Linked DNA regions of Arabidopsis thaliana. The protein of the gene in region 4 interacts with the protein of the main gene of each other region in a pairwise test. Each region holds a gene or a part of one and is shown on either strand. Other genes may lie near its edges. The genes, in order: LBD1, LBD10, ARR11 and SWI3C.

Region 1 (4,031 bases), 5.2 Mb from region 4:
ACAGATCTGTGAAGGTTTAATCCCACGGCTTCATTGTTTTACCTTTCCGGTGACTTGGGTAGTGCTACAACGGTTCACAAACGAGATTTTAGGTACTGCTACAATGGTTTGACTCAGACTATTTTTTGTTTTTGTTGGCAGAAAAAGAGAGTCAAGCCGATTTCTACCACAAAAATTGTGGTGCCCTATCATCTGAGCTAAGCGAGCTAAATTCAAACAAATCAGCAATTGAGGAGATATACAGCAAACAATCCTAGAGTTTCCACAACTTGGATTACCCAATCAAATCGATAATTAATATCACATACATCAAAAGATATAATCAACAATCCACTGAACAGTACAAAAATCTCAGAACCAGATCGATCCTATAGTTTATCATCAGCTGGCATGAAGAAAAAAAACAATACGATTGCACTGTAAAACTTTGTTCTCCTAAATCGATAAAACTTTACACCACCGATCAGAAATTCCAAACGATCTATAAACAAAGAGAATCGAATCCAAGAAATAACAACAACAAACGAGAAGTATCGAAACAGATTCAACACAGATCAGCAGAAGAGAAAGAGGCAGATCGTAGATGGTGATGAAAAAGCTTACCTCGGAGATAACGCAAGAGAGTAAAGCGGCTAGGGTGAATGAAGTAAGGAATAAAGCTATGATGGGGATTCGTTTGCCAAATTACAAACATACCCCTATCCCGCCGACTATTCTCTTTTTCTTTGGGCCTTGAAGAGTCGGTCGCGTTTCATAAAAGATACGGGAAGATTTGGAACGGAGGTTCATCGTCGCCGTCGCCTGAGGAGGGTGACAAGATAAAGAGCCGAACGACGTCGTTTAGTTTTAGATTTTTTTTTTCCGCTCTGCGGTTGTTTAGATCCGGTATACTTTCCGGTTTGTGTCTAAAAACCGCAGGAAAAAACATTGAAAACCCGGTCAAAAAAACAATTTAAAAAAGCCGCCTCTACTTTTCTTTATTCACCGTACAATGTTACATTTGTGTATGCTAACTAACCCTGAGTAAAGTTCTAGAGAGGGCCTTAAAGCGAAGTAGTCAAAATCTTAGTAATGATCAACATGTCCAAAGAGGATCCCACCACAACATTGATGAGTTGGTGTTGGACTTGTCTTCAAGGAATCCCAAATCATTGCTCTCAAAGGACATATTATCTTGTTCTTGTTTCTGTTGTTGGTCCATGTTATAAATCAGCTCTAGTAAATTTGATCTTTGAAATTGCATATTCACCATCTCCACTTGAGCTTTTGCAAGTTGTGCTTGGAGTTCACTCACTTGTCTTTGTAAATGGTATATGGCACCTGCACATCCATACACTGGATCTCTTATTCTAGCTTCGGCTTCATACACCATACTGTTGACCGCATCAGTTCTTTGTGATTCTGGAAGTTCCTGAAAATATAGATAAATAATCAATCATGTGTTCGTTCATAAAGGTAAGGATTTTTTTGTATTTAATTGACCAATTCGAGTAAATACCATTTTTCTACAAGACTTTGTGAAAGGTGCATGATAAGGAAAACGTTGACAATGACACTATATGCAATACTTTCACTTTTTTTTTGGTTATGTGGTGCGGCTTTTGTGAGAAGAAATTATTGACATTAGTCTTATGACAAATAACTACGTAAGGTCCAATTTTCACATGACCTATGAAACCATTTTCCGAAACAACCATTTCAATATATGTATCTTCCTAATAAGAACAAGAAAATCATTCCCATCTATATCATTAATATAAAATCGGGTCTTTCTTAATGTAATTCTTTCTAAGAACTAAAGAGCTTATAGTTATTACACCAATAGATATATAGATAATTTAGGTACCTGCAAGAACTTAATGATGTTGCTGGCTCCAAAGACGCGGTGTGCAATAGTGAACTTGGCCGGATCCGTTGGAGGGAAGTACGGTGCCAAAACGCATCTCTCTGCACAACGTCGCCTCAAGATTTTGCAAGCAGCACATGGACTAAGCACTACCCGCGGTGAAAGTGATGGTGGAGGAGAAGAGGAAGAAGATATGATTGGAGTGGTGGCGACAGAAGCGTCACTTTTACTCTCCATACCAACGCAAAAACTGTGAATTATGGGGAGGAAGATGAGAAATGTGTAAGTAGAGTCTTTGAGAGGTGAAGTGCTTTTTGGTGGGGAAGTGTATATATAGGGGAGACACACAAAATGATGTAGGGAAGGAGGTGACCACCCTGACATCACAAGCTCGAATTATGACGTGGCTTTTTTGCTAATTGAAAGTTGAAACATATTTCCACGTAACGGTGGCTACTAAATTTCTCTACGCTTTCATGTTTCAACGGTTTGCTTGACTTTGGCACAATTAATTTTCTTCTTAAGAAACAAAAAATTCTTCTTGTCTTGTTTTTCTCCTTACGTATAGTTTCAATTATATTAGTCTCTAAAAAATCATTAGTTAGTCCAATGGTATTCTACTCTTCGTCTTACATTCTTTAATAGTCTTTCTGATTATGAAGAATTGAAGATTAATACTATAATTTGGGAGAAACCATAGTTAAAAACCTCAATTGAAATGTGTATTACGCTAGGTGGTTCGATAGGTCTTTGGAATACCTAGATATTCAATTCTAGAGTACTTCTCTTCTAGTGAAGTTTGATTATTATTTTTATTCAGTGCTTACTTAATTGTAAATTCTACTGAAGTACTGATAGAGAAATTAACACAAAAGGCCAAGTGATTTATTTTAGGTTGCCTAATTTTTGCTGAACCGTATTTTGTTTTTATTAACCATTATTCTTGGGACTCATTTTTATACATTAGTTATATCTATTGTATGAGACTTTTCTGTTTAATTTGAACGACTTATACATACACATTTTTTCCAAATTAAATTAACCATTTTCCACGTATATATATGCATGGAGAAAATGCAAAACTACGTTAAGAGTCGTCATTTAGAAGAAATAGAATTCCGAGCGGTCCCAAAGCATCATTTATTCAATAAGAGAGTCGTCTTCACGTACCAACATTAAGAAGAAAAATTCGGAATCAAATAGAGGGAAGACACGTAACCAGTTAGATTGCTAAACGAGTTATTGGGTGTGCAAGCTCTTGCGTCCACCTTCGACAGATTGCTCTCTTTCTACTATACGTATACTCTCAACTAAATCTTCAACACCTTATTGAAAATGACTTAAGGCTTATAAGATTTTCTTCTTTCTAGTATCATCAATTCATCATCATTTAGTCTTATTGATTTAATCGGTCAAAGATTGTCTTTTGCATCGTGTACACTGGGAGATTGTTTGTTAGTCAGATTTATCTCAATAAATAATGTACGTCTAACAGTATCGTCATGATTATCCTCAGATCAAATCATCAATACCTTTTCTTCCAATCATATTCTTGGGCCTTTTTCAAATAACTCTAGTGCAGTTAAATTCTATCAAATCAGTGATAAGATTCCACTAATGTTGGAATGGAGACAAGAAAATTGGGGTCGTTACGTGTGCATTGAAAATTATGCTACCATTCACTAAAATGTAAATTTATACATATAGTAAGCACAAAAGCATTCACTAGCGAAAAAAAAAAAGTAAATTGTGCCATGCAACACATTTCTTGCGTTATTTTTGTTTTGTTTGTTTCAAAATACAAGTTAATAACACATCGGTCAATACAATTTTATTTTTACAAATTCAACAAATCAATATTTGGTCTTTGAGAATCAATCATATCGATCGAAGAATTTGTAAGCGATTCCCTCCGGAAAGGGGAAATACATAAAGGTTGCCAAATGTACGTATACCAAGCCACGGGCAAGGGATTATTGATTACAACCATCTGCTCAAATTTAATCTGATGATGTAACCTAAGCGTACCGAATAAATGATATATTTGACTCATTGACTTTGATTTCAACGAGTCTGAAATTACCCAGTTCTTAAATTCAGAATTTATCCGACGATGTAGAAAAAAAGAACAAAAAAAAATCCACATTTCTGATTTCTGGATACTTTCAAAGTTATCTAAGTAACT
Region 2 (4,520 bases), on a different chromosome or scaffold from region 4:
CATTTTATCAGAGCCAGGTTTCGATCCTGGGACCTGTGGGTTATGGGCCCACCACGCTTCCGCTGCGCCACTCTGATTTGATGTTAACTAAGCTACAAATATGATATGTATACATTTACTTTAGGTAAACGTTAAATAGCCCGTATTTTACTGTACGCTTTTATTCTTAACTTCAAAACTAATTTGTTTCCGATACGATGATTAAACGTTTTTCTCCTTTCTCCAATACTGTATTTAACGTTTTCAAGAGACACAATTATAAGTTGCGTGGCAGAATTGAAAATTTTGATTAGTGTGTAACGACAAAATCGCAAAATGATAAAAACAGAATGCATGGATAATATCTCTGCTCTGCTCAATCGGTAATTCCTTCATAAACTCTTTTAATCTTACCATTGTTGAAAATATTTTTGAAAAAAGAAAAATAATTAACAAGTGGTTCATTACGGCATGTCCCTCATGACTACAAGTAAAGTCTATCCCAATCAGAGTACATTAGGTTTCATGCTGAGGTTGTATGATCATATCATTTGCTTGCTTTGGTTGGCTTCAAAAATAATACACAATCCATTCTCTGAAAATAGCTCGAAAACTTCTCAACCATAGCAAAAATCCGAGTCGATTCTGTGGCATTATAGACAATTGATGCGAATTCAGATTGCTTAATTTGTAGATGCAAATAGCGAGAATGAATAATACCATTTGATTATTAAAAAAAAAAACCAAATAGATCCTCAAGAGTTAAGTAAACTATCCAAGAAAATAGGAATTTTTTTTTGTTCTCCTAAATGCATTTAGGTCTTAAAAACTAGCTTCCTTGTTCTCAGACATCCTCCATTTAACCGGTGGCTCAAGCTCTTCCTCCTCCTCTTCGTCATGAAGATTCTCTTGTCCCATTGGTTGCATCAAGAACTGTCCTTCCTCTGTTTGTTCTTGACCTTCTTGTAATGGAGGCTGAAGCATAAGCTGTGTCTGAAGCTGATCATGGTTGATATGACCATGCTCTGTCTCTTGACCCATCTGATAAGCATCACCAAAGCTTCCTAAAGCAAGAGATGGTCCAGACAACGAACCACCAGCACCTTGATCATTCACATCCATTTGGTTAAAACCCGTGGCTGTAACCGAACCATTGTTGTCTATTCCGTAACCATTGAACATCCCTTGTTGATCTCCTCTCTCCAACATCATTGCAGCCATTCTCTGTGCATCAGAAGCTATGAATTGCAACTGCTCATCTTGCGGTTGTTGATGATGATGTTGCTGAGACATGTTTGGTTCGCGTATCATCAAAGGTTCTCCTTGAGGGATCACTCCTGGTGGCATTCCTTCCATAGACATCATGAAATTGGGAGGAGGATTGTTACCTATAGGAGGAAGATAAGGCGGCGGAATCACAGCATCGGGTCCCAAGTAACCAACAAGCTCTTCTTTAGCAGTGAGAAGATCTTGTTGAATTTTCTTGAGGTATTGTTGTAAAAAAGAAATGAGACCAACACATCCATAGATTGGGTCACGGATACGCGCTTCCGCTTCATAAAAGAGGGAATTAACAGTGTCTTCGCGTTGATCAGGTGGAAGATCGTTGAGGATCTTGGTTACATTGCTTGCTCCAAAAACTCGGTGAACAAAGATAAACTTTTGAGGATTAGTTGGTGGAAAATACGGCGCAAACACACATTCTTGAGTGCATTTACGCCTCAAGAGCTTACATGCTGCACAAGGTGTTGAAGCCATCCCCACTTAAGACACAACACTATCAAAAATTTAAGAATGGAATTAAGACAAAGAGAACAAGGGAAATAACATGTAAGAAATATCTTGAAGCACAAGAAACACAAAATCATATACGTTTTAGCTTTCAACACAAGAAACCAAAAACCAGGCAAGAACATTTACATCACCCTTTGAATCAACCACATTAGATCAACTTTCTCAACAACAAAAAAGAAACAGAACTATGAAAATTTAATTATGAAAAAGAAAACATAGTTATGAAATTAAATCAATTTTCAACCAAATCAATCAATCTATATATATGAGAGAATTAAGAAATGTGATCAAATAAAATTAAAGAATCAAGAAATCGCACCCGCTCGTTCGAGAACACCGATCCTGTTCTCTTATGACCTTGGAGGATGGTACCTGAAATAACATTACTATTTAGAAAAATTCAACCAAAAAAATTGAAATCAGAATGATCACCTAAAATAATATAGAATTACTGGATTTTTGGGAGAGAGTGAGAGAAAATGAAGGAGAAAAAAAGACAGAGATTTGCCAAGTACAGTGCCTGAGGAATCGTGAAGATTGATTACAAAACTAAGGAACAAATGACGGAAATGTTTCTGAGAAAATTTTAAGGAGACAAAAATGAGATTTAGAAAACCTTAAAACACATCAACAAGAAAGAGAGAAAGATAGAGACATCGTGTTACAAAGTTACACACGTGTGGTCAAATTTAAATCTAAACCGCTTATGCAAATTGTTTTTTTTTTTGTGACTGATAAAAAATTTGAAGTATCATTTGATAAGTTAGCAATGATATTTTAAGCTGCATAATTAGTAGAAGACTAATTCAAATTTCATAGGAAAAGAAAATCAAATTTGTTTACAATGGAGAAAAAGTGAGTTATTTTTAGATATTTCTTTTATATTTTTAACTGATTTACTAGGTCTTGAATTTTTAACTTTCAAATTTAGAATCTAAAAAAATAATATACCCCATTCTTTAGCATTTTTTACAAGAACTCTTCAAATAAAGAATGAGAAATTAGCATTTAAAATTTGTGAAATTTATATAAAAGGATCATTTGAAAAGTATAATTCATTACTAGTTACGAATAGTATTTTTACTGTCTCTAATACATCATTGATTCAATATGATACAATGTAATTAGTAAAACATTAATTAATGATAACAAAAGTGTATTAGAGTTTTAATATAAAAAATATTAGAGTCTGTAAATATTTCATTGATTTAAACTTCTACAATATAATGTATTCAGTGAAGGTACAACCTGATAATGCAGAAGTTTGACAACTGAAACATAGAAAATTTAACTTGAACGGGTTATAGATATTTCATTCTTGTAACTAATATTCTTTAGTAATTTACATGAAGAGTTCATATAGATACTAGAGAATAGCTTATTCTTCCTCTCTATTTTTTGCCTCCAATAATAGCATTATAAAAGTATAAAATTGAAAGAGTAAAGAAGATAAATCAACGTTCCTAACTACTTTTCATTGATTTAAACTTGATGAAATAAAATCAAGAACATTTACTTTAAATTCTCTAAATACTTTATTGATTTACAAAACTTGATACAATATTAAGAGTCAAGATTTAGTTGATAATAACACAAGAATATTATGTCTTGAATTTAACTTGAATGGTTGATAAATATCTTTAAGAAAACTAAAAAAAATCTTATTTAGTATTGATACTATTTATTTTTTTAATACATTGATACTTGTAACTTATGATTATAATTATATATTATAATATATGTTTTATAGTTTTATATAAGTTTTGTGATTTTAAGACATTATGATCAAGACTTTAAATGCAAAATAAAAATTGTTTTGATGTTAATAATATTATTCAACTTTAAACTTGAGGCTTGGTAAACTTAAAAATGAAATGTGCTTTGAAAATGCTATAAGCCATAAGCTATAAGAGCCACACAATTTACTTATTTCCGATAAAAATCAAAACCGAAGCAAAATAGACCACATAATTCTGATCTTCTTCATCTCTAGGTATATGGTTTATGATATTACAAAACATAATTAACAGCAAAAATTTAGACAAATATTTCTTTAACTCCAACACAAAAGTACACATAGCATTAGGTTATTCCTAAGATTTCTGGGCTTCTGGTCCTAAAATCCCATTCACTACTGACGTAGCGACAAGAACTCCGACGAACTCAGCCGCCACGACGGCTCCAGCTTGTGTCAATCCATTAAAGCTAACCGCCGTCACGATTTCCTTCTCTGCCGTCTCTACACCTCTCTCCGCCGCTTCTAATCCTTTCTCCGCCGCATCAACGCCTTTCTCCGCCGTCTCAAAGCCTTCTTTCACGATCTCCACCGCTTCTTCTTCTGCTTTCTTCAGTTTCTTTCTTATACCAAATAACGGAATATTCTCCGCCATTGATGCAGGCTGAAGTCCCGTCACTACCGTCGCTGCCGTCAACGAAAATAACAGATTCCTGCGAGAGGCGCCGGTCAGCGAGAACGAAGAAAGCGCGGGTTTGTTAGAATGCGCCGCTCGTGGGCTAACATGCGCGGTTCTTGCGCAACGCGCCTGAAGAGCTCCACTGCCGCCGCTGAGTAAAGAAAGCGAAACAGTCGAAGCCATTTTTTAGATGATCTCACAAGAAACGAAAAAAGCTCTCAGATGTGAAATAGAAAATACGAAAAGTTTTGATAATATATAAGATAACAAAATAATTTCATTGTCAATTGACGTGACACGTCATCTCCATTGAGATTCTTTGATAAATGGGTA
Region 3 (5,574 bases), about 18 Mb from region 4:
TGTATTGTAGATTTGTTGAAAGAAAGAGCCATTGGTTACAACTTGCAATTTCAACTTTTCTTAGACATTGGTCAAACAATAGTAGTCGAAAATAGGAAAACTTCCCACTATATCTTTCGAAGAAACCCTTAACTAGAACTGTGAACAAGATATGCAAAAGCTTCGTGAAGGTGAGAGCAAGACCATTTGCAGAGATTTAGTAGAATCTCCCTGATTGCTCCAGTAGGTAAAAAATCTAGTTCTGCGCAGTATTGGCGACATCTGACTGTCCGAACATTGCAATATGGTGTGTGTAGCTTCATAAATTGTTTGTTATGAATAAATTAGAGCTTTGTCAGGTAACTAATCCATTGCCTGCATAGAAAGATGTTAGATAGTTCAAAACTCTGAAGTTTCCCATCTTGGATCTGGTGGCAAGTGGCAACTGTTAGATATCTTCGATGTAAAACGTTTCCCGTAACACTCATTTGTATATCTGCTCTAAGATTGTGAACTCTCACATTATTTGATGATAAGGTTATGGGACAGATTCTCAACAGATAAAAGAACATCACATGTGGCAACTGTTAGATATCTTCGATGTAAAACGTTTCCCGTAACACTCATTTGTATATCTGCTCTAAGATTGTGAACTCTCACATTATTTGATGATAAGGTTATGGGACAGATTCTCAACAGATAAAAGAACATCACATGTGTTGGAGTAAGGAGGTAAAATTCCTAAGTTTTGCAATTAGATTCAATGTGTAGTAGAGATCTTTTTTTCATGATATGACATGCAAACTAATTTCCTTCCAGGTGACAGTGAAGATCTTAAGCGACGGTGTGAAACATGTGGCCTTATCACTGTCATCAACCTGTTTGGTGTAATTAGCCTACGACACTCGTGGATTATTGTACAATGCATCCGATCATGGAAGGTTCTTGGGAAAGCAAGATTATTTTCAGGTATACCCACAAAATCTTTCTGCATTACACCAACCAATATACGAAAAGAAGTTATTGGAACAAGGTTAAGATATGAATAAACCTTGGTCTACCATGAAGGAATACTCGTCAGGGTCAGGCAGCCGCTCATTTCCATACCAATTAAGGTGGGCTGGGAGCTCAGATAGGAGTGATGGGCTACTACTGTAATCTTGAAACTGGAGTCCGGTGTTTGCAAGAAAACGCTCGCCTTGAAGCCAAGTCAAGTCTAAGTCAGTGTCTAAAGAAACAGAATGATGTGATTCTGGAAGTTCCCAGTTCAAGCTTCTCAGAATCGCCTCTGTGTTGAACTCCTGCAGCTTCATGGCAGAGGGATCCAAATCTTGAAGGGTTACAGTAGGGATCTTGTCTTGTGGCATGAGAAACTCATCTGCATTCACACTACTGCCTCCTGCTGGTGTCTCATAAGGAGGCTTCATTTCCTCCTCCATGAGAGATGGTGCAGAATTTGCAACATAGGAACTTTGACTTGGCAATGGTTGTTGCTGGAGAAAGCTATTCTCATACAGAACCGGCTTCGATTCAAGGACCTCTGGAACATCATTCCAAGGAAGCAGAGAGTCAAACGCAGAGGAGGAAATGGGAGGATCAAATCCTATACGCGTCTTTTTTGTTTTCGGAGGCATGATCACATCGGTGTTGAGGTCAGACAAAGAAGCTGAAGCAAGTGGCTTTGGATCAATCTCTGTTGCTTTTTGGATCAGAGAATTTCCTCCAGAGAATACATAGCTGCTCCTCCCAGGGCTTTGGTAGCCTGAATTCACTTCGACATCTTTTGGAGATGAATCCGCATTCTTCACGCCACCTGAATAACACTTGAGCTCCTTTCCTTTCTCTAATCTGCTCAGGTAAAGTCTATATTTCTACAAAAACAGAACAAAAAAAAAGTGACGAAAAGCTTAATCTAACACTTGTTCTGAATAATGATGATGACAAGGTAAAGTTTTTACCTGAAGGTGGCTTGCAACATTTTCTCTAGTGAGCCATGGAACATTCATGAGATCCAATATCTTCTTGGGACCAGCTTCTGCCAAACAAGAGACCGGAAAAAATTTCACGGCTCTATGAAGACATGATAATAAAGGGAGGCAAGGGGACATGATAAGAAACCAAAGTCGCCAACGTACTTACTGTGATCGCATCCGATTTGGTTAACGGCGTTGACAAACTTATGATGAAGCTCAAAAGACCAAACAACTCTAGCTTTCTTGGAAGAAGAAGATGATGGATCACTCTCATCTTGAAGAAGCTTCTTCTCAAAGTCAAAGTCTTTTCTCTTTTTCCCAAAAGAAACATCTTCACCACCTCCAAGAAAATGTGCTTCATCGTATCGAGTGATCCAATCCGCTCCTCCTTCGTATCCACAGCCTTCGATATCTCTCACTTCTTGAAGCTTCTTTCTCAGAACATGTTGCCATATAATCTTTAACTCCTTCATTCTTATCGGCTTCAAGAGGTAATCACAAGCTCCGTGTTGCACTCCCTTCATCACTCGGCTTGTTTCGCCGTCCACCGACATCACTACAACGCAAAACACACAAAAATCAATAACCTTTTTCATTTATTACACAACAAGTCAAGATCTTTCTTCTCACTTATTACAGGGAGGTCTAATTCAAGACCAACATGCTCAAGAAGCTTGAAACCATCCATGTCAGGCATGTTCACATCGCTGATCACGATATCATATCCATCTTTACGCTCCCTCAGCAACCTCAAAGCCTCTCTAGCTAATCCACAGGTCGTTACTGCAACATAGGAAAGTAAGGAGATATTTTAGTAAATCCAACTGTTGGGGAAAACATAAGATAGAAGAAGAAGAAAGAGACCTTCGTAAGAACACTTCTTGAGCATTTTCTCGAGAATCTTGAGCCAAGTTGGATCATCGTCTACGACAAGAACCCTTAGACCGACGGGAGAGAAGCCGCTTTTCTCCATGATCGCCGGCGAAAACAAGAAAGAGAGAGAGAAAGAAAAAGAGCAGAGAAAGTGGCGAGAGTTCTTTTTTTGGAAAGGAGAAAGTGGGAGTGGGTTTTTGTTTGCGTTTTATTATGAAACGACGACACTTCAAATATTTTGGCGTAGTTTAGATAACGGTCACCATGGCGTATGTTAGGTTTTATCTCCCGTCGTACTGGAATTTCCAAATTTCTCTCTGTTTTTAATTTGAAAACGAGGCTATAAAATATTAATTTATTTGTGGATTACTTTTGAAGAAGGAATTTAGTTCGGTCTAAGTTCACTGCCAAAAAAAAGTTGTTGAAACTCTTTTCTCTCTCAATTTGTAAGTTGACGTCTCTCACTGCTCCATAATCCCATATTCTTCCAATAATTTAGCTTTTCAAATTGTTCTTAAGATATTGACATGATAATATTGTGGATTATATCACCTTTTTATAGTTATTCTATAAAACTAAAATAATTATCTTCTACACTCTTTGGTATTTTATACGTAAATATGGTGATCGTATTTAGATTTAAACTTCTATATTTATGGGATCGTATTCAGAGTGCATCATCATTTTATCATGTAAAAATATTGACAAAACACACACAAGCAACTCTATATATAATGCAGTGTCTTGCTTAGATGTGTGCAGGGCTAGGACAAGTTTATAAAATGTGGCTATCATCATAGTTTTTAAAAATAATCATAATACTGAATCGGAAAAAATATTAGTATCAAAAACTTACAATGTAAAAAAATCAATAATACGTTATTCTTTTTGTTTTTATATGTTTTTCTAATAATGTTATTTGTTTTAAATATTTATATTTACTAATTATGATGTATTACTAAATGATTCTTACCAAAAAAAATATATTACTAAATGATGTGTTTTCAAGATAAGAAAATGGTCTATAGATAAAGGTATAGTTAAGAATATAATTTTCACGAAAAAAGTTTCATTTTAACAATTATTTGTTATCAAAATAACAAAATTGATAAGCTTATTATTTTATAAAAATTTGGCCTTTAATTTAAACTTTTTTTTTGGCTTTAGGCATTTGCCTTTTTGCCATAGGGTAGTCACGGCTCCTATATAATGCAAAGTTTTACATGTATATTAGTGTGTCTGATAACCTAATGTTAAATTAGATTTAAAAAACTATCGTTCATACATCAAGAACATAATGTGTTTGAGAAAGCTTAAAAGTTAAAACATTATGTCTCAAAATTTTTAAAAAATCAGCTTCTCGCCGCAAACAACTTAAATTACATATATGCATGCAGCATGTACGTCACGTCTAACACAAAATAAACTCTTTAACTAGTGAGGTTTCTCGACTCGGTTTAATAATGCTCGTAAATCATCAAATCCTTAACAAGTCGATGTAATGTTTAACCTTAATTAAGGCTTAAAATGTTTGATCTTTGACTCTGAAAGACTTTCAATGTTTGATCTTTGACTATAAAAGACTTCAAATGTTTTGACCTTTATATTCTATTGAAAGAAAATAAGTAGAAAGACAAAAGAATAAAGGAAAATGGTACACAGCTTGTCATGCACAAAGCTTTTTTATGGATAAGGACGTGGCCCGTAGAGACTTGACAAAACACACAACATATATACTTCCTCATTAATTTCTATTATTATATACGTACAAGACAGCTAACTAATTGCACAAACTTTTTGGCCATGATAAAAAAGAATAACGCATTATAGATTTAGAAACAGTGTCGTTGTTTGGGAGTTTGTGGATTTGCACAGTACACTGGCCATGTTTCTGTTGATGGGATCAGGGACGAGGTTTGCATGTGACCTGCATTTAAATAGCTAGTCTCACTTTCATGATTACTATTTCATTACTGTCCAACTTTCATATCATATATTATATATTATTGAGATGTAGAATGAGAATCAAAGTCTATCTAATATACTGTAAGAAACATGTAAAAATGTCTAACAAATTTATGGTAATTCAGTGATTAAAAACTGCGAATATTGCACAAAATCTTACGTATATTTTTTACAGTGCCGGCTCTAGGGGAGTGCTACAGGAGCAAAAGCACAGGGTCCTCAAAAAAAATTTCAATTTTCTTTAAGGTTTTAGGGTCCAAAAATTTTAGAAATTAAAAACCAATATTAACTAAAGCCAGTTTTTATAAATCAGCACAAGGTCTTCAAAAAGTTTGAGCCGGCCCTGATTTTTTACCAAAAAAAACAAAAAATGTTACGCATACTTTTCTAACATCTTTTTGATTGTACAAATTGTTTTCAAAATAGGTCGAAAAAAGTAAATATAAATTTCCTTGAATCGGAATCTTCCGACTAACATAAAAATTAAAATGTCTCTCTTTATCTAAAAAAGAGAAGAAACAAAAAAATTATTCTGCTTTAATTTTGAGTGAGTTAATGTTTTTTTTCAGAGTTGTGGTCGCAATATGTTTGAGTTTGGTATCATGCAACACAACATCTATCGTCAAAGAGATGCATGCTTACGACTTTATTTCCTTTCATCAAAACGTAACTTGAGTTACTTATTTTTGTCTATTAATGTTAAAGAAACATATGATGCGCCAACATTATTTTTAACTCACCTTAACAAAGCCATTCTTCATTTGTTGTCGACGTTACGGCAATG
Region 4 (6,845 bases):
CGAATTCGCCATCTCCGTCGTCTTCTTCTTCTTTCTTCTCTGAATCCAGAAGCCGACCAGTCTCTCCCTTCGCTCCTCCTCCGTCTTTCAAGCTGAAATCGCCTTCAGATTCCGACTCCAACTGTTCAGCATCTCCGACTCCATATTTCCGATCTTCTTCTCCTCGTGCCGGTGGCTCATTGCCTCGGTGTTTTTTTCCCAAGTCATTATTTGGGTTGAAAAAGAGTAAGAGCGGCGATTTAAAAAAGACCGGTCAGCAGGAACCATCATCAACAACATCGGAGTCTGACAATTTCTATGAATCGGGAACAACGCTTTCTCCGTCGGAAGAAGATTCTAGCCAGGGATCGCCGGTATCTTCGAGGTGGAGTTCGCCGAAATCGTCCTTCTCTTCTCGCCGTGGTTCGCCGCTAAAACGGACTGATTCGGATTTAAGCTCTTATGAGAAAAAAACCATGTTAATGATAGCTCGTTCCCGCCTTGGTTAAATGGTTAGGCTTAAAAAAAAAAAAACATCTTAGAGATTAATCAAATAAAAATGATTTTGAGTTTTTCATTGCGACAAGAACGAATATGTTACATGTAGATTTGTAATGAAATTGTCTATATATTATCGTCAAAATGAATCGAGTTAAAAGACCCCTAATGTTTGAAGAGTAGAGAAATGGTTGTGGGAAAGAGAGACATTAAGATTGGTGACTGTTTTAATTCACAATGATGATGATGATGGTTTGATACTACAAGACACTAACTTGGAACAAGACTACGGTCTCAAAGCCAAATAACTTATCTTTAAAAATAACAAGGTGAAATAAATATGGATACTGATAAGCTAAATAAGCTAGAGAAAGATGGATCTTAGTTTAAGCCTAAGCCGGACCCTGAGCCTGAACCTGTGGAAGACCTAACCATCGGGTGACTAAACGAAGGCTGGTTGATCGATGCTGCTCCAGCTGCTGCAGGGTTATTTAGTTGGTTGTTGCCAAACATGACGTTTGGTGAAGCTGTTGATCCTGCATTGGTCTGTATTGCATTGAGAGGTAATCTCGGGCCAAACGAGAAAGCTTGCTGTTGTTGTTGTTGTTGTTGTTGTTGTTGTTGTTGTTGTCGTGCCATGAAATGCATCTGTGCTTGAACTTGCGGGTTGTTGCTGAATCCTGGGATTATGCTTGGTTGAGAAGTTGCGGAAGCTTGTTGTTGCTGATGTTGCTGATGCATGAGAGAATTGATGTTGTTACCACCTGTGGATAGAGACATGCCTTGGAGATTATTAGTCTGTGGAGAGATTCCTCCAGGAGATCCAAATCTTGCTGAGAGCATACGAGCCCGTTCTGCAGAAAATCTCTGACGGGTTTTCTCTACTTGTTCGCATTCTTTCATCAACAGTGTTTCAATTTCTGCGAACTGCTTTAATTTCAGCTCCATCCTCTTCAGCTGCGGTTTTTACTCAGATCAGCAATAAACACTATACAACAAAATAAATCAACTACCTACAGTAATTCTCATCAGCAACTGGTTCTGCTATTTTACCTGGTGATTAACGATATTAGCAGAAAGTCTCTGGATTTCGCGTTCCTCATGATCAGCAAACAATTTTGCTTTTGTTGCTGCAGCTGATAGACCGGCTCTAAATGCTGCCATAACCTTATCCTGTGGCAGTGGAGTCTGCGCTTCTGCTCCGTTTTGGCTTGATGTTTTGTGTGCTCCTGAGTTTTTTTTACAATTAAAGCATGTTGGTGTCGCAGATTAGGTTAAAACAAAAGAGCAAAGAATCACTGTAAAGAGAACAATCAAATAACTTCCTTACCATCTTGCTGTTGATTTTCTCCATCAAGCAAGCTGGCTTCTTTCCCTTGCATTCCCTCAGATTTCATCCTAGATCAAGAAGTTTCAGAATAGTCCATAGTATTATTAAACTGAATCACACTACAGAGAATTTATATTGGATAGAGACTATATAATACACTAACCTATCGTCCTCAGATAAAACCGAGAGGGATTCATGGGCACAGGACGCAGCAACTCGAGGTCCAACAGCTGATGCCAAAAATGCAACCTAAAATATTTTGGTATCAGGATCCTCATATCTCCAAACTTATGTGCAATACAGGACCATTCTCCACTCAAAATATGCATACAATTGAGCTCTCAGATATAATCGATTCATGGATCAGAGATATCTCTAACTGGTGAGATCATAAGGATAATAAGAAGCGCATATGAAATCTGCATCGGAAAAAAGTTCACAAACCAATGCCATAACCGGATTCGGAGACTTCACAAATGGAAGCTTGATCTCAGTGTCAGAACCTTGCTCGGAATATCCTGCAGACGCAAGCGGACAATTAGTATGGCATGTCAAAGGAAATAACTATGGAAAGTAATTCATTGCTACAAATTGAATAAAACAAAATCACCAGGTAAATCCCCATTTGAATCTGTTCCTTTGTGGTCATATCCATTTGTAGGGTTTTCCGTATTAGTTACACCAGAAACCTCAACATTATCTAATAGACCATCCTCCACAGGTAATCGAAGAAAATGAAGAATGCATTGAGCTTTTGACTTGGAACCAACATGATCAGCAATTTGAACCCAATTTTCATTGTAGAGTTCCACAGCTTCAAGAAGCAAGAGAGTTTCCTGATCAGTCCAATTGTCTCCATCTTGATCGCCATAAAATTTCATTGGATCCACTCTTACAAAGTCAAGACAAGAATGTCCAACAACAAATCTTCCATGGTGAAAACAATCACAGCATAAGAGTATATCCCCCTGTAAAGTAGAGATGAAGATCCTTTAGTTAGAAGCGGTCCAGTATCCGAGACAGTAAGCAAGATAAAGCTTGGAGTCTATTACATCACTGGGTGCAAAAAAGAATCAGATAATGATACACAAAGAACAGTACGTAAGGGGAAGCAGCCTAAGAACCTTCTTTTGCGATTGGAAGTACACAGTTGGAAGCGGTCGAGAACAATGGTTGCAATGACTATCACATAGGTGTTCACGAATTCTGATGTCCAAGTCAGGGCTGTCACCATCCAAACTTGGCAAGGATGAATAGACTTCACCCCCCTTGTGTCTACAGTTGGGCTTGTCAAATTTGATCAAACTATCAATAGATGTTAAAGCAGCAGACGGCACATTGACCTCGCCATTTGTGTCCTCCCTCACATCCGATACATCTCTCAAAGGGCCAGGATGTGACTGGGCAGTGGCACAGTAATTGATTATTCCCCAGTGATCAAGAAAACGGAAAACTCGTGCAAAATCTTCAATGTCAACACCATCTACCAATCCTTGGCAATCAGAAATCGTCAGTGTCTTTTCAGGGTTCTCTACATATTTGGAAACAATGGCGTTCCTGAATTCCATATAACTTTCGGGTGTATGATTTGGCGATTTCCCAGAGAAAAACTGTGGCACCACTTGCCTTTCAAGTCGATCTACTGTGTTTGGTGCAAACCAATCTGCTCAAATGTAACAGCAAAAGTAGAAGAATAAATTCGAGCATTGGGAACAAAAATATCAGAAAATAAAAATAAAATAAGAGGAGAATCTCGATATATTTGAGCCATAGGACTCCAGGAACAAAACCCAAACGAATTAGAAGAACATCACTTGCATAGTCTATTCAAGTTGTACTTCTGAGATAAGACACCTAAGGCTACTTCAAGCCAGCAGGTACTCTAATTTATCATGTACAAAAGTTATAATACCTCTTCCTTTCCATCAGACAGAACATGGGAACATAGAGAAACATCTGATATGAAATTGAGTCGCGTTCAGATTAATGTAAACTAAGAACCAGGCACTAGACAAAAGGAAGATAAGAACTTATACGTTAAGGAGATACCGGCATACAAACCTGTTTTGACTAATTCTCATTCCAATCACAAGATATATACTACAATACTACCAACCAGCAAAAGCTGATGCTGCATAAAGCCTAACCTCTAACATAAATGCGCGTATCAAGAGGAAGAAAAAACACACCTGAATGCATAGGCAAGACATGAACCAGATCCCCAAACCGTTTAACAACTCCTTCTCCATCCATAATAGGTGGTGGAGAGATAACATAAGCCGAAGACGATCCATCACTCCTCTCAAGATCAAGAGAATCAGCAGGTACAGTAGATAACGCTTGCAATTGCCCAAACGAAATGTTCTCCAGAGCTGGAAGTGAACCTTGCCCTCTAGTCTCCCCTATCAAACCAGCTCTCTCAGCCGCCACAACAGCCATTACAGACGCGTGTGGCCGGATCACAACACGCTTAACCACTGCCGGGAAATCAGAGATGCGCGAACCAGAATCTTCAACTACCTCGCCAATACCAAGTCCCGGATCGGGAGTTGCGCCGCCGTTTTGCTGAAGCTCATCGGCATTTTCAACGTCATCCATTTCTTCGTTGTTGTTGTTGTTATTCTCTTCGTCTTCTTCCTCCATATCTTCCTCCTCTTGTTTCGGTTTCCTCGCCGCCGATAACCCCCCTCTCTTCTTCCTTTTCCATTTCCCTCTTCTATCTGCGACAGAATTGTAAAAAGTGTAATTCAATTCACACGAATTCTCGAAATACCCATCACTACGATCTATGTGGGTAAGTCAAATCCCAATTTAAATTTGGATTTTGAGAGAGATAAAGATGTGAAACAGCAATTTACCTTCAGAAGCTGGCATTTTTGTGGATGAAGATAGAGAAATAGAGGTTTTGGGTTCTGTGGAATCGAAGCAAGACCCTTAGTAAAAAGAATTGCTTTCTTTGTCTTCTCTCCTCCGAGTCGTTCTGATTTCCAGCTCTCGAGCTAAACACCAAACCTTTTTCTCGCAATTTCTTTCACCATTTCCTTCATTAATCTCTATATATTAATTCATTCTCCACGACGACCTAACCTTCTCGACAAACAAGAGGGTTCTGATTTCGAAATTCAAGCTTCGTTGACCAATCCAAATTTTGGTTTAACTTCGGTTAAAGTCAACTTTACTTCGGTTTTATTTTTCAATTTTGAATGAGAAAAACCGAATCAATTATTTAGTTCGGTTCTTAAAGTTCAAATTGGTTAAACCGGTTTAAATTGATACATTAGTCGACCGTCGCGCATTAATACTGGTGTGGTGGTTCCGTTAACGAGCAACGGCGATGAAGAGACCTCGACCTACATCTCAGCCGTCGATCTCTTCCACCGTCAAACCACCACTGTCTCCGCCGGTCACACCGATTCTCAAACAGAAGCTACACAGAACAGGAACACCTAAATGGTTCCCGTTAAAACTAACCCACACGGAGCTGACGTTGCCGTTAACTTTTCCGACGGGTCAAACATTCCGGTGGAAGAAAACTGGAGCGATTCAGTATAGCGGAACGATTGGGCCTCACTTAGTCTCTCTTAGACAACGTCCAGGAGACGACGCAGTTTCCTACTGCGTCCATTGTAGCACAAGCCCTAAATCCGCGGAGCTTGCGTTGCTCGATTTTCTCAATGCTGAGATCTCGTTAGCTGAGCTATGGTCTGATTTCTCGAAAAAAGATCCTCGTTTCGGAGAGCTAGCGAGACATCTCCGTGGCGCTCGTGTGTTGAGGCAGGATCCGCTCGAGTGCTTGATACAGTTTTTGTGCTCATCGAACAATAACATTGCGAGGATTACGAAGATGGTGGATTTTGTTTCGTCTTTAGGGTTACATTTGGGTGACATTGATGGATTTGAGTTTCATCAGTTCCCATCATTGGATCGATTATCTAGGGTTTCTGAGGAAGAGTTTAGAAAGGCTGGTTTTGGTTACAGGTGATTTCATCACTCTCTAATGGTTGCATTATGTTGAATTAGACATTTAGGCTAAAACTTTGCTTGAAGCTTATACTTTTATTTACTCTGTGGCTATACATTCATAGAATTGAAGCTAATGTTTGGTCTAAGCTAGATAATCATTGTGTGGCCGTTTCTCTGATTGGTTCTGATCTCATTTGAAAACTCTCATTCTGGTTTATCTTGTGGTGAGCAGAGCCAAATACATAACAGGTACAGTGAATGCTTTGCAAGCAAAGCCAGGTGGTGGTAATGAATGGCTTCTTTCTCTGCGCAAAGTCGAACTCCAAGAGGCAGTTGCTGCGCTGTGTACATTACCTGGTGTTGGTCCGAAGGTAGCAGCTTGCATAGCTCTGTTTTCTCTTGATCAGCATAGTGCTATTCCGGTTGACACACATGTCTGGCAGGTAACAAAGTCCATCGGTTTCTATGTATTGTACTTACTTAATTGAGATCCAATTACATAATGGTGATGATGACTTCGGGCAACTTTTTTTTTGTTCTGTTTTGGATAATGGATCAGATCGCAACAAATTATCTACTGCCAGACCTTGCTGGTGCAAAACTGACACCTAAACTCCATGGCCGAGTTGCAGAAGCCTTTGTGAGTAAATATGGTGAATATGCTGGTTGGGCTCAAACATTGCTTTTCATTGCCGAGTTACCTGCACAAAAAACTCTCTTGCAATCGTTTTCCCAGCCCATTAACAAACTGGATGAGTCTGCAGAAGTTAATGAAACTAGCTGTGATACGTTGAAGCCATGACTATGTGTCTACCTAAGCTACGAGGAATCGTTTTCACAACCCATTCTTGATGCGTCAAGTCCAGAAACTTGACCTTGGAAGAGCTAAGAAAATTCTGAAGCTGATGCAGTATTTGGCTCCCTGGCAAATGAGCGTAGTTATTTGTTATGATCATTGTTTACTAAGGAACCAATCTTGATATGTACTTGTAACTTTACATTCAAACTTCCAAATTAAATTCTAATTGTTTGTTCCCTTTGCAATTCTCTTGATTTGAAATGAGAATTTTTTCCT

What was found.
Region 1: the proteins of SWI3C (region 4) and LBD1 interact in a two-hybrid assay, tested with the Arabidopsis thaliana proteins (one large-scale study listed by BioGRID).
Region 2: the proteins of SWI3C (region 4) and LBD10 interact in a two-hybrid assay, tested with the Arabidopsis thaliana proteins (one large-scale study listed by BioGRID).
Region 3: the proteins of SWI3C (region 4) and ARR11 interact in a two-hybrid assay, tested with the Arabidopsis thaliana proteins (one large-scale study listed by BioGRID).

What each region holds. Positions count from the first base shown.
Region 1 is NC_003070.9:2,440,676-2,444,706, reverse strand, and holds LBD1 (LOB domain-containing protein 1), read right to left. Parts: upstream 2,138-4,031; 5' UTR 2,084-2,137; coding exon 1,847-2,083; intron 1,412-1,846; coding exon 1,076-1,411; 3' UTR 961-1,075; downstream 1-960. Other genes in the region: AT1G07901 (uncharacterized protein), read left to right, coding at 584-736; AT1G07902 (uncharacterized protein), read right to left, coding at 1-28, 43-64, 697-789.
Region 2 is NC_003071.7:10,059,441-10,063,960, forward strand, and holds LBD10 (LOB domain-containing protein 10), read right to left. Parts: upstream 2,383-4,520; 5' UTR 2,294-2,382; exon of another isoform or gene 2,146-2,293; 5' UTR 2,093-2,145; intron 1,757-2,092; 5' UTR 1,738-1,756; coding exon 802-1,737; 3' UTR 625-801; downstream 1-624. Other genes in the region: homolog of Synechocystis YCF37, read right to left, coding at 3,867-4,370.
Region 3 is NC_003070.9:25,375,981-25,381,554, forward strand, and holds ARR11 (response regulator 11), read right to left. Parts: upstream 3,238-5,574; 5' UTR 2,926-3,237; coding exon 2,817-2,925; exon of another isoform or gene 2,736-2,816; coding exon 2,583-2,735; exon of another isoform or gene 2,549-2,582; coding exon of another isoform or gene 2,509-2,548; coding exon 2,119-2,508; intron 2,015-2,118; coding exon 1,938-2,014; intron 1,851-1,937; coding exon 1,014-1,850; 3' UTR 699-1,013; downstream 1-698. UniProt on the Arabidopsis thaliana protein: Transcriptional activator that binds specifically to the DNA sequence 5'-[AG]GATT-3'. Functions as a response regulator involved in His-to-Asp phosphorelay signal transduction system.
Region 4 is NC_003070.9:7,619,298-7,626,142, forward strand, and holds SWI3C (SWITCH/sucrose nonfermenting 3C), read right to left. Parts: upstream 4,870-6,845; 5' UTR 4,682-4,869; coding exon 4,666-4,681; intron 4,528-4,665; coding exon 3,997-4,527; intron 3,471-3,996; coding exon 2,932-3,470; intron 2,776-2,931; coding exon 2,418-2,775; intron 2,326-2,417; coding exon 2,252-2,325; intron 2,057-2,251; coding exon 1,971-2,056; intron 1,876-1,970; coding exon 1,808-1,875; intron 1,707-1,807; coding exon 1,531-1,706; intron 1,435-1,530; coding exon 859-1,434; 3' UTR 704-858; downstream 1-703. Other genes in the region: AT1G21695 (hydroxyproline-rich glycoprotein family protein), read left to right, coding at 1-488; OGG1 (8-oxoguanine-DNA glycosylase 1), read left to right, coding at 5,142-5,785, 6,003-6,213, 6,330-6,572. UniProt on the Arabidopsis thaliana protein: Component of a multiprotein complex equivalent of the SWI/SNF complex, an ATP-dependent chromatin-remodeling complex, which is required for the positive and negative regulation of gene expression of a large number of genes.